Linked DNA regions of Cricetulus griseus. The protein of the gene in region 1 binds, or shares a complex with, the protein of each later gene. Links are inferred from orthologs where the notes say so. Each region holds a gene or a part of one and is shown on either strand. Other genes may lie near its edges.

Region 1 (4,091 bases):
CAGGCTGGCCTTGAACTCACAGAGATTCACCTGTCTCTGCCTCCCGAGTGCTGGGAGCTGGGATTAAAGGCGTGCGCCACCAACGCCCGGCGCATTAAAAGGCTTTTAAGCCAAATACTTAAGTGCATTATTTATTTCTACATACCATGGATAGATTTCCCAAGAACCCAGAAGACTGTGTGTGCCGGGGAGACTTCCCTTCCGTTCCGAGAATGCAGGAAATATCTGGGTGTCTTAGTAAGCTTCGGCTTGGTGGGGTAACAAGTGAAAGGCCAGGAACTGTAAACACAGAGCAAGTAGACCAGCAACAAATATATTTTCCCGGGTATGGGGGAGATGACTCCACCAGTACAGTGCTTGTGGTACAAGTGTGAGGACCTGAGTTTGATCCCTAGCATCTAGTAAGACACTCTGGAACAGAGGTGCACACTTGTAATCCTAGTGCCAGGGAGAGGACACAGGAGACCCTGAGAGTCTAGACTAATCAGAAAGCCCTAGGTCCTAATGGGAAACTGTCTTAAAGGCTCCCAAGGACTAACACCCAAGGTTCACCTGGAGACACGTGTGCACACATATGTGCATGTACACACACACAGGCACACGCACACTCCTCCAGACACTCATCAGGAACATGTATATATTCATGCATCTACATACACATGAACATGAAACACCCACACTTACATATGAAAGAACAATTTCTCAATTTTCAATTATTTAGATTCAGATCAAACACTTTAAAATGTTTATGTTATGGAAGAATTAGCTTATTTTTCTAAAGTTGAGCTTATCATACTACTACTAAATTTTTTTTACTATAAAAGATACTTTCAATATAAATGTTAACTGCACAGACTTAAAATTAAAACAACCAAGGTGGCACCAGTCAGCAGATCCTTCATTGTCTGATTTCAGAGAGCACAATGAGGCATACAGTGAGTGTAGTGGGCCTGGACTTTAAAGCAAACCAGACTGTTATTTGAACTCTGTTTTCAATGTCTAAATAACAGCACCCACTCACTCCCACTGGCTCCTCCAAGTCCACCTTCTAGTTTGGAGAACTAACAGTATGTCACCATTACTATGTATTAATATAAAGTACAGTCCTTATTCATAAGAGTTCAGATAACTATAACCATTATTATCTATGCTTAGTTCCTGATACTGTTGCCACATATTTCATTATGCAAATTATATAAATGTTAGCTGATATTATGACTACTACTCTATTAAATACTTTAAAAGCAGAAACAAAAATCTTACAAGGCTGTCGAAATGAGCTCGGAGTTCGAAGAATAATTTGGCTTCTTGGTGTAGTATTACCAAAATTTTCATCTTGGTTGGCCTGAACTTTGGGAAGAATTAAGGAAAGCTTTCCATGTTGAGAAAAAAAAATTACTAACGATAACAATAGATTTACTACACAAGATGCATGAATACATTTTTGTCAAGAACAAAGCATTTTACAGCTACCACGTTTCCTGTGTACATAGTAGTTAATTCCTTCGGTCAATTAAACTCTCAGATCAGAGTTAGATAATATGTACTGACTACTAGTTAGCACCATGACATACTAGTAGGGAACCAGAGAAACAGAAATCTTAACCTCACTGAAGTTCATCCAGAGTGTGTATCCAAGTAAAATACCCATGGAGGTAATAAGCCAATTTTTACCACAGTTAATGTCTAATGACTCAAAGAAAATCCTGCAACATTGATTCAAAGCATTCTGCAATTTGTGTAATTCTTAAAACACAAAGGATACTTAAAACTCTTTTTTGAGCACTTTGCTTCCTTGCAGTCCTTGTCACTTCTGCCTCCCGGATCACAGGGGATGGCATCTCCACAAAGCCACTCCTAAAATAGTGTAATTAAGCTTTTGGGCAGCATTTACGAAAACAACTTTATCACTGCAGTTAGAGCAAAGGACCCTGAGTCAGTCAAAGGACAGGTCACTCCAACAGCCAAACCTTAAACCTTTCTACCAGGAGTACCAGCTAGCAAGTTACCTTTGACAGGTTTCCCTGACACACCTGTGACGGGGAATTTAACGTCCCCTCTGTTTATTTTCCCGCAGAACAGTATAACACAGTATTACCCTGCTTGGCTCTCTTCACTACACAATCGGTTCCTCGATGCCAAGCGACTGGAATAACCAACCCATCCTTGTCCCAGGCGAGCATAATCACCAGATTACATGAGAAAAATCAGCTACCTGGTGCTGGCTCTTCAAGTTAAGCTGATCACAGTGTACTAACGTACAACTGAAATGTATTAATAGCCACGATAAAGCCACTTTGCAAAGTACTGAGATGTCAAGTATTGCTCACCGGCAGTGACCTCGGACTGCCTGCTCACTTTAGCATTTCGAATGCCGGGCCGCCACTACCTACCTACCCCGCCCACTTCGGGGCGAACGGCGGCGAGAGAGCGCCCAACAGACCCCGGAGCCGGGGCGTGGAACGCGGGGATCTGCATCCTCTGCATCCTGGCTGCCCCCATACCAAGTGGCCTTTCCTCCAACAAATCCCAGGTAGGGAGAAGGAAGGAGTGAACGTACAACCCTCGGCTCCTCCTCCGCTTTCACCACGTCGTCCCGCCAACCGGCGAGAGCCACAAGTCTTGGCCCAGCCGTCCCCAGGACTCACCTGTCCATGGCTGCGGCCTCCGCCAGCTAGAACCTCGCAAATCTGCCCGCAATGCCGCCACCGCGTTTCAGCCTTCCCGCTCTCCGGAAGTAAACCCTTCGACCCGGAAGCATGCCCCTGATTCAGCCAGCCCCTGCGAAAAGTACTGGGAACGGAGAAAGTGTTCCTACTTGGCGCATGCGCAGTTATCGTCGACCGAGTAGGCGCAGGCGCCAAAGTGTGCCAGGGCGTGCCTGCGTGACTGGGCGGTGCCAGCTAGGCTGGGAGGGGGCGGGAAGGGGCGGGGCTTGGCGCGGAGCCCCGAGCGGCCTTTGTGGGCGTGGTCTGGGTGGGGCGTCCTGCTGAGAAGCCAGAAGTGGCTAAACTGGGGTTCCGATGGAGTCCGCCTTGGCGTTCCTCCTTGGCATCCCGCAACACTCCACAGACACGGGCCTGTCTCGGGCGCTTGTGGTGTAGCCTCAGTGGGCGGGTTAGTTGTTTTCTATCATTGTTATTTATTTTCCCTTTACAGATTCAGCCGTCTTTTTAAAAATTAAAAGCAGTGCATAAATGCCACATGGGCTCACTCCTGTAATACCAACATTTGGGAGGCTGAGGCAGGAGGATCACCATGAGTTTGAAGCCAGGCTGGACTAAGAATAAGATCCTAACCAAATATATATATATATATATATATATATATATATATATATAATATTTTTCAAAAGTTTTAAGCATGGAGAGACTTAACCTGTTCCAGCATCTCAGAGTGTTAGGTCTCAGGCCCTCCACATGAGCTCAACCTGAACCATAGGATTTCTGGCTGTTAGATAAAAGCCAGCATCCCTCTGGAACTTGAGGTTTTCCATCCTCAAATGGGGTCCTCCTTGATAGCTATTTGTCCTCCTTCCAACCCCCACCCCCAAATAATTTCTATTCTTTGCTGTCCTGTCATTAAACTCTATCTTTGGCTATCTTGACTACCCCATCTTCCCTAGGCCTGTCCATAGTCTGTTTCTCTTTCTCTCTGCTCTGGACTCTTCCAGTTTTGCCTCTGGATCATTTCTCTTCCTTACCCATAACAAAATGTTACCCCTAATGGAATGGTCATGTTTACTTTCTTTACTGTTCTTGCCCACTGGACCATATCTGACCCCTTTAACTTACAGACATCAACATCAAAATGCACCCTAAAATATTTAAATGATACACATTTGATTACTTTAAATTTCTGTGAAATAAACTCCTGTATGGGTGTATATTGTATACATACTAGCTTTTTGTTTAGGGTGCTTGGCCACCATGACAGAAATGTCTAACTTAAGCAAAAAAAAAAAAAAGTACTGGAAGGGTATCAAGAGCTCATGGAATAGTTAAAAAGCAAACAAACAAAAAGCAAACAAACAAACAAAAAACCATAGAAAAGGTTTGGGGAAACACAGCTCCTCTGGAAGCAAAAACCAG
Region 2 (3,519 bases), on another chromosome or scaffold:
CATCAGATGAGCAGCTGGTGTTGTATGCATACTACCTTCCTCCTCTTTCTCCTCCTCCTCCTCCTCTTCCTCCTCCACCTCCTCCTCCTCCTCCTCCTCCTCTGCTCTAACTGTAGTTAAAGGAAAGCAAGCAGTCCAGAATCTTGAGTGTAGGACACTGTTGGCAACAGAGCTTCTGAGTGGTGCTCTCTTCTAAGAGAGCATTTACTGGAGAGATCTGAAATGTAGGCTGTAAGTACTATTATTTTATGTGTCACTAAGCAGGTAAGTGTGGTACCAGTCTTACTCAGACATAACATCCATTTCAATGATAGTCATCAGTTTCAAAGGTGAAAGCAAAGTAATTTTGCAAAGTATTTGGATTGAGCCTGTGTGACAGTGAAAACTAAGATATAGGTTATGTATAAAAGATTTTTCATGTTGTTAGAGAATTATATACAGTTTTTAAAAATGAAATTGTCCTATTACATATAATTGTTAGAAGAGGAAAATATTTAAAAATTCGTATTAATAATTTTAATCAAAAAGTTTTTTATTAAAAGATGGCAGGATTTTGAGGAACATGTATAAGTTATCTGGCATCTAACTCACCAGGGAAACTGAATCACACAGGAAGTGTTGGTTTACTTCTTTTACAGTGTTGAACAATGGAACCCAGGGCCTCATATGCTAAGCAGGTACTCACCACTAAGCCCAGTTGTATGCTAGGTTGTAGTTTTTAAAAAGGAGTAGCATTCCAAAAGCCATGCACTGCGTGACCCTATGAGCCCAAGAGCAGGAATTTATGTCAAAGATTGTACATGAAAGCATGAGGAAAAGTCTGTAGTATATTCTTAATCTAAGATTGTAAGTAGTCTGGCATTTTAAAAAAGAATTTATATCTCATTATATAAATTAATTTCTGGTGTAGAATATGTACTGTTAGCCAGATGGTGGTGGCACATACCTTTAATCCTAGCACTCTAGAGGCAGAGGCAAGCAGATCTCTCTGAGTTCAAGGCCAGCCTGGTCTACAGAGTGAGTTCCAGGAAAAAAGAATATGCATTATTAGGCAACTTTCTATAGCCAGAATATAGCTCCCAAATGTGTCATTGTTCTTGGCTATAAAAATATGTGTAGATTATATAAAAGAAATCAATGACTTACTTTCTTCATAAACTTTCCTGGGTAATTGTCTACCTTGGATCTTGTTGCAGCTGTACATCTGTGAGGAAAACAGACGAGCCAATGAATATGATTTTAAGAAAGCCTTGGACTTGTTGGAATATATTGATGAGGTAAGAAATCACTCTATATAGCTGGGCATACTGATACACACCTTTAATCCCAGCACTCAGGAGGCAGAGGCAGGCAGATCTCTGTGAGTTCAAGGCTAGCCTGGTTCTAGGATAGCCACGGCTACACAGAGAAACCCTGTCTTGACACGAAAAAAAAAAAGGAAGGAAGAAAGGAAAAGGAGGAAAAGAGCTTCTTTTGGTCAATCATAAAATGCCCTCATGAAAAGATTTAGTTTTGGTTAAGAGCCTAAGGTTGCTTCCCTGTGGCTCTTTGAAGACAGACAGCCATCCAGACTGTTAGAAGAGCTGATAGGAATTGCCAGTTCTAGAGAACCCTCTCCTATTTCCAGTTGGCTTTTTTTCTTTGCAGGGGGAGAGGGGGGGATTGGGGATGGGTATGTATGTGTTTGTGGGTGGAGGACAGCTTGCCAGAGTTGGTTTTCTCCTCCTTGACAGGTGGGTTCCCAGGAACAAATTTAGGTCATTTGACTTTTTGGCAATGCCCATACCTGCTGAGCACTGGTCCCAGAAATTTTTTTAAATGAGCTTTTTAAAGTCTTAAGGTATTCTTCTATAGCCTCCTAATAGAAGCTGCCCTTCAGCTTTCAAAGGTTGGAAAGCAAGTGCAGTAAGATCAGTGGTTCTGCTTCTTGGTTGTGTGATCAGAAGTTGTTTGGTAGCCTTTGGAGTCATAATGTTAACTTTTTTTCACACCTTTTTTTGTTGTGGACTCCCCCTTCTCCCCACCCCCACAGGGTTTCCCCACATAACAGCCCTAGCTATCCTGGAACTAGCTCTGTAGGCCAGGATGGCCTTTTTTTTTTTTTTTAAATCTGTATAACTGCCTGCATGCATTTAAATGCATCATGTGTGTGCATTGCCTGCAGAGGCCAGAAGAACATGTCAGATTCCCTGAAACTTAATTTACAGACAGTTGTGACCTGCTATCTGGATGCCAGAAACCAAATCCAGTTCTTCTGTAAGAGCAGAAAGTGCTGCTAATTGCTATGCCATCCCTTTGGCCTGTTTTGGGATGGGGGTGGGGTGGGGGATGGGGGGCTTTGAGACAGGATATTGGTATGACTGAAATCCTTACTTCAGCCTCCCAGCTGCTGAACTCACAGGTATGTATACCACCATACCTGACTATACAACCATTTGTTTGGTTTTTTTTCCTTTGTTCTATATGCATTCATGTTTATGTATGCATGTATACGTTTGTGTCCTGTGGAGGTCAGGACAGCGCTCCGGAGGTCAGTATCATCCTCCGGAGCACCATCCACATCCTTTGGGACAAGGTCATTTGTTGGCCTGGAGTTCATCAATTAGATTACACTAGCCAGTGGGACCTAGGGATCCTCCTTTCTCTCCCTCCCCCCTGCTGGAAATACAAGTGTGTACCACCACACTCAATGTTTTTACATGGGTTTCAGGGTCAGATCCTCATATTTGCAAGGCAAACACTAGGATTTTCCCCCTGCATAACCACTTTAATAATCTTAACTTCTTAGAGTTCCTGATGAACTCAGAGTGATCTGAAATCAACACAGATATCAGCAATCCTAACACTTTAAAGAAAGAGGGGAAAGGGGTCTGGGAGAGATGTCTCGGTAGTTAAGAACACTTGCTGCTTTTGTAGAGAACCCAAGCTTGTTCTAGTACCCACATGGCAACTCACAACCATCTGTAACTCCAGTTCCAAAAGATCCTGTGCCCTTTTCTGGCCTCCTTGGGCATCATGCCCAAATGCAGTATAATTACATATATGCAAGCAAAATATTCATATATGTACAAAATAAATTTTATAGATAGTGGGTGGTGGTGGTTATGAATTAATGCAGAACAACAGTGTTAATTAGAGGTTAGTATAATTAAAGTTTTAATGTACATTTTATTTTTAAAACTTAGCTTTAATCAGGTTGTTCTGTTTTGCTGTGAAGGAGGAAGATGTGAGCATTGATGACCTGAAGCTGGAGATCCTGTGCAGAGCTCTGCAGAGAGATGAGTAAGTCCTTGCTGGGGCGCCAGGTCCATAGGCAGGAACTGCTTCCATCAGAACTGTAACTTGGTGCACAAGATGGGCCTATGTGCTTCTGGGTATTTCAGCATGCTCTGAGCATAGTGGTGATCTCACTATTTTGTTCTGGTTTTTGAAGTAGGGTTTTCCTCTGAAACCCTGGCTGACCTGGAACTGGATCTGTAGACCAGGCTGGCCTCAGAGATCTGACAGCCTCTGCCTCTT

The links.
Region 2: the proteins of Nup107 (region 1) and Nup133 are in contact, whole or in part, in a crystal structure (PDB 3CQG), measured with the Homo sapiens proteins. The link is inferred for Cricetulus griseus from reciprocal best matches to the Homo sapiens genes NUP107 and NUP133. Residues at the interface, in NP_065134.1 of Homo sapiens: Leu875, Gln876, Ala878, Asp879, Val881, Ser882, Ser883, Glu884, Tyr889, Lys894, Leu897, Arg898, Leu900, Leu901, Gln902, Arg905, Ser908, Leu909, Leu912, Asp917, Pro918, Leu919, Tyr921; in NP_060700.2 of Homo sapiens: Trp937, Leu938, Ile941, Asn942, Gln944, Leu946, Tyr963, Ala965, Lys966, Lys968, Thr969, Leu970, Gly972, Leu973, Lys975, Leu976, Ala977, Leu979, Ala980, Ser981, Asp982, Ile992, Glu999.

Annotation. Positions count from the first base shown.
Region 1 is NW_023276806.1:138,571,304-138,575,394, reverse strand, and holds the start of Nup107 (nuclear pore complex protein Nup107), read right to left. Parts: upstream 2,804-4,091; 5' UTR 2,657-2,803; coding exon 2,649-2,656; intron 1,858-2,648; coding exon 1,766-1,857; intron 1,351-1,765; coding exon 1,264-1,350; coding exon of another isoform or gene 1,239-1,263; intron 280-1,238; coding exon 146-279; intron 1-145. UniProt on the Homo sapiens protein: Plays a role in the nuclear pore complex (NPC) assembly and/or maintenance. Required for the assembly of peripheral proteins into the NPC. May anchor NUP62 to the NPC. Involved in nephrogenesis.
Region 2 is NC_048596.1:200,585,859-200,589,377, reverse strand, and holds part of Nup133 (nuclear pore complex protein Nup133), read left to right. Parts: intron 1-1,196; coding exon 1,197-1,277; intron 1,278-3,217; coding exon 3,218-3,282; intron 3,283-3,519. UniProt on the Homo sapiens protein: Involved in poly(A)+ RNA transport. Involved in nephrogenesis.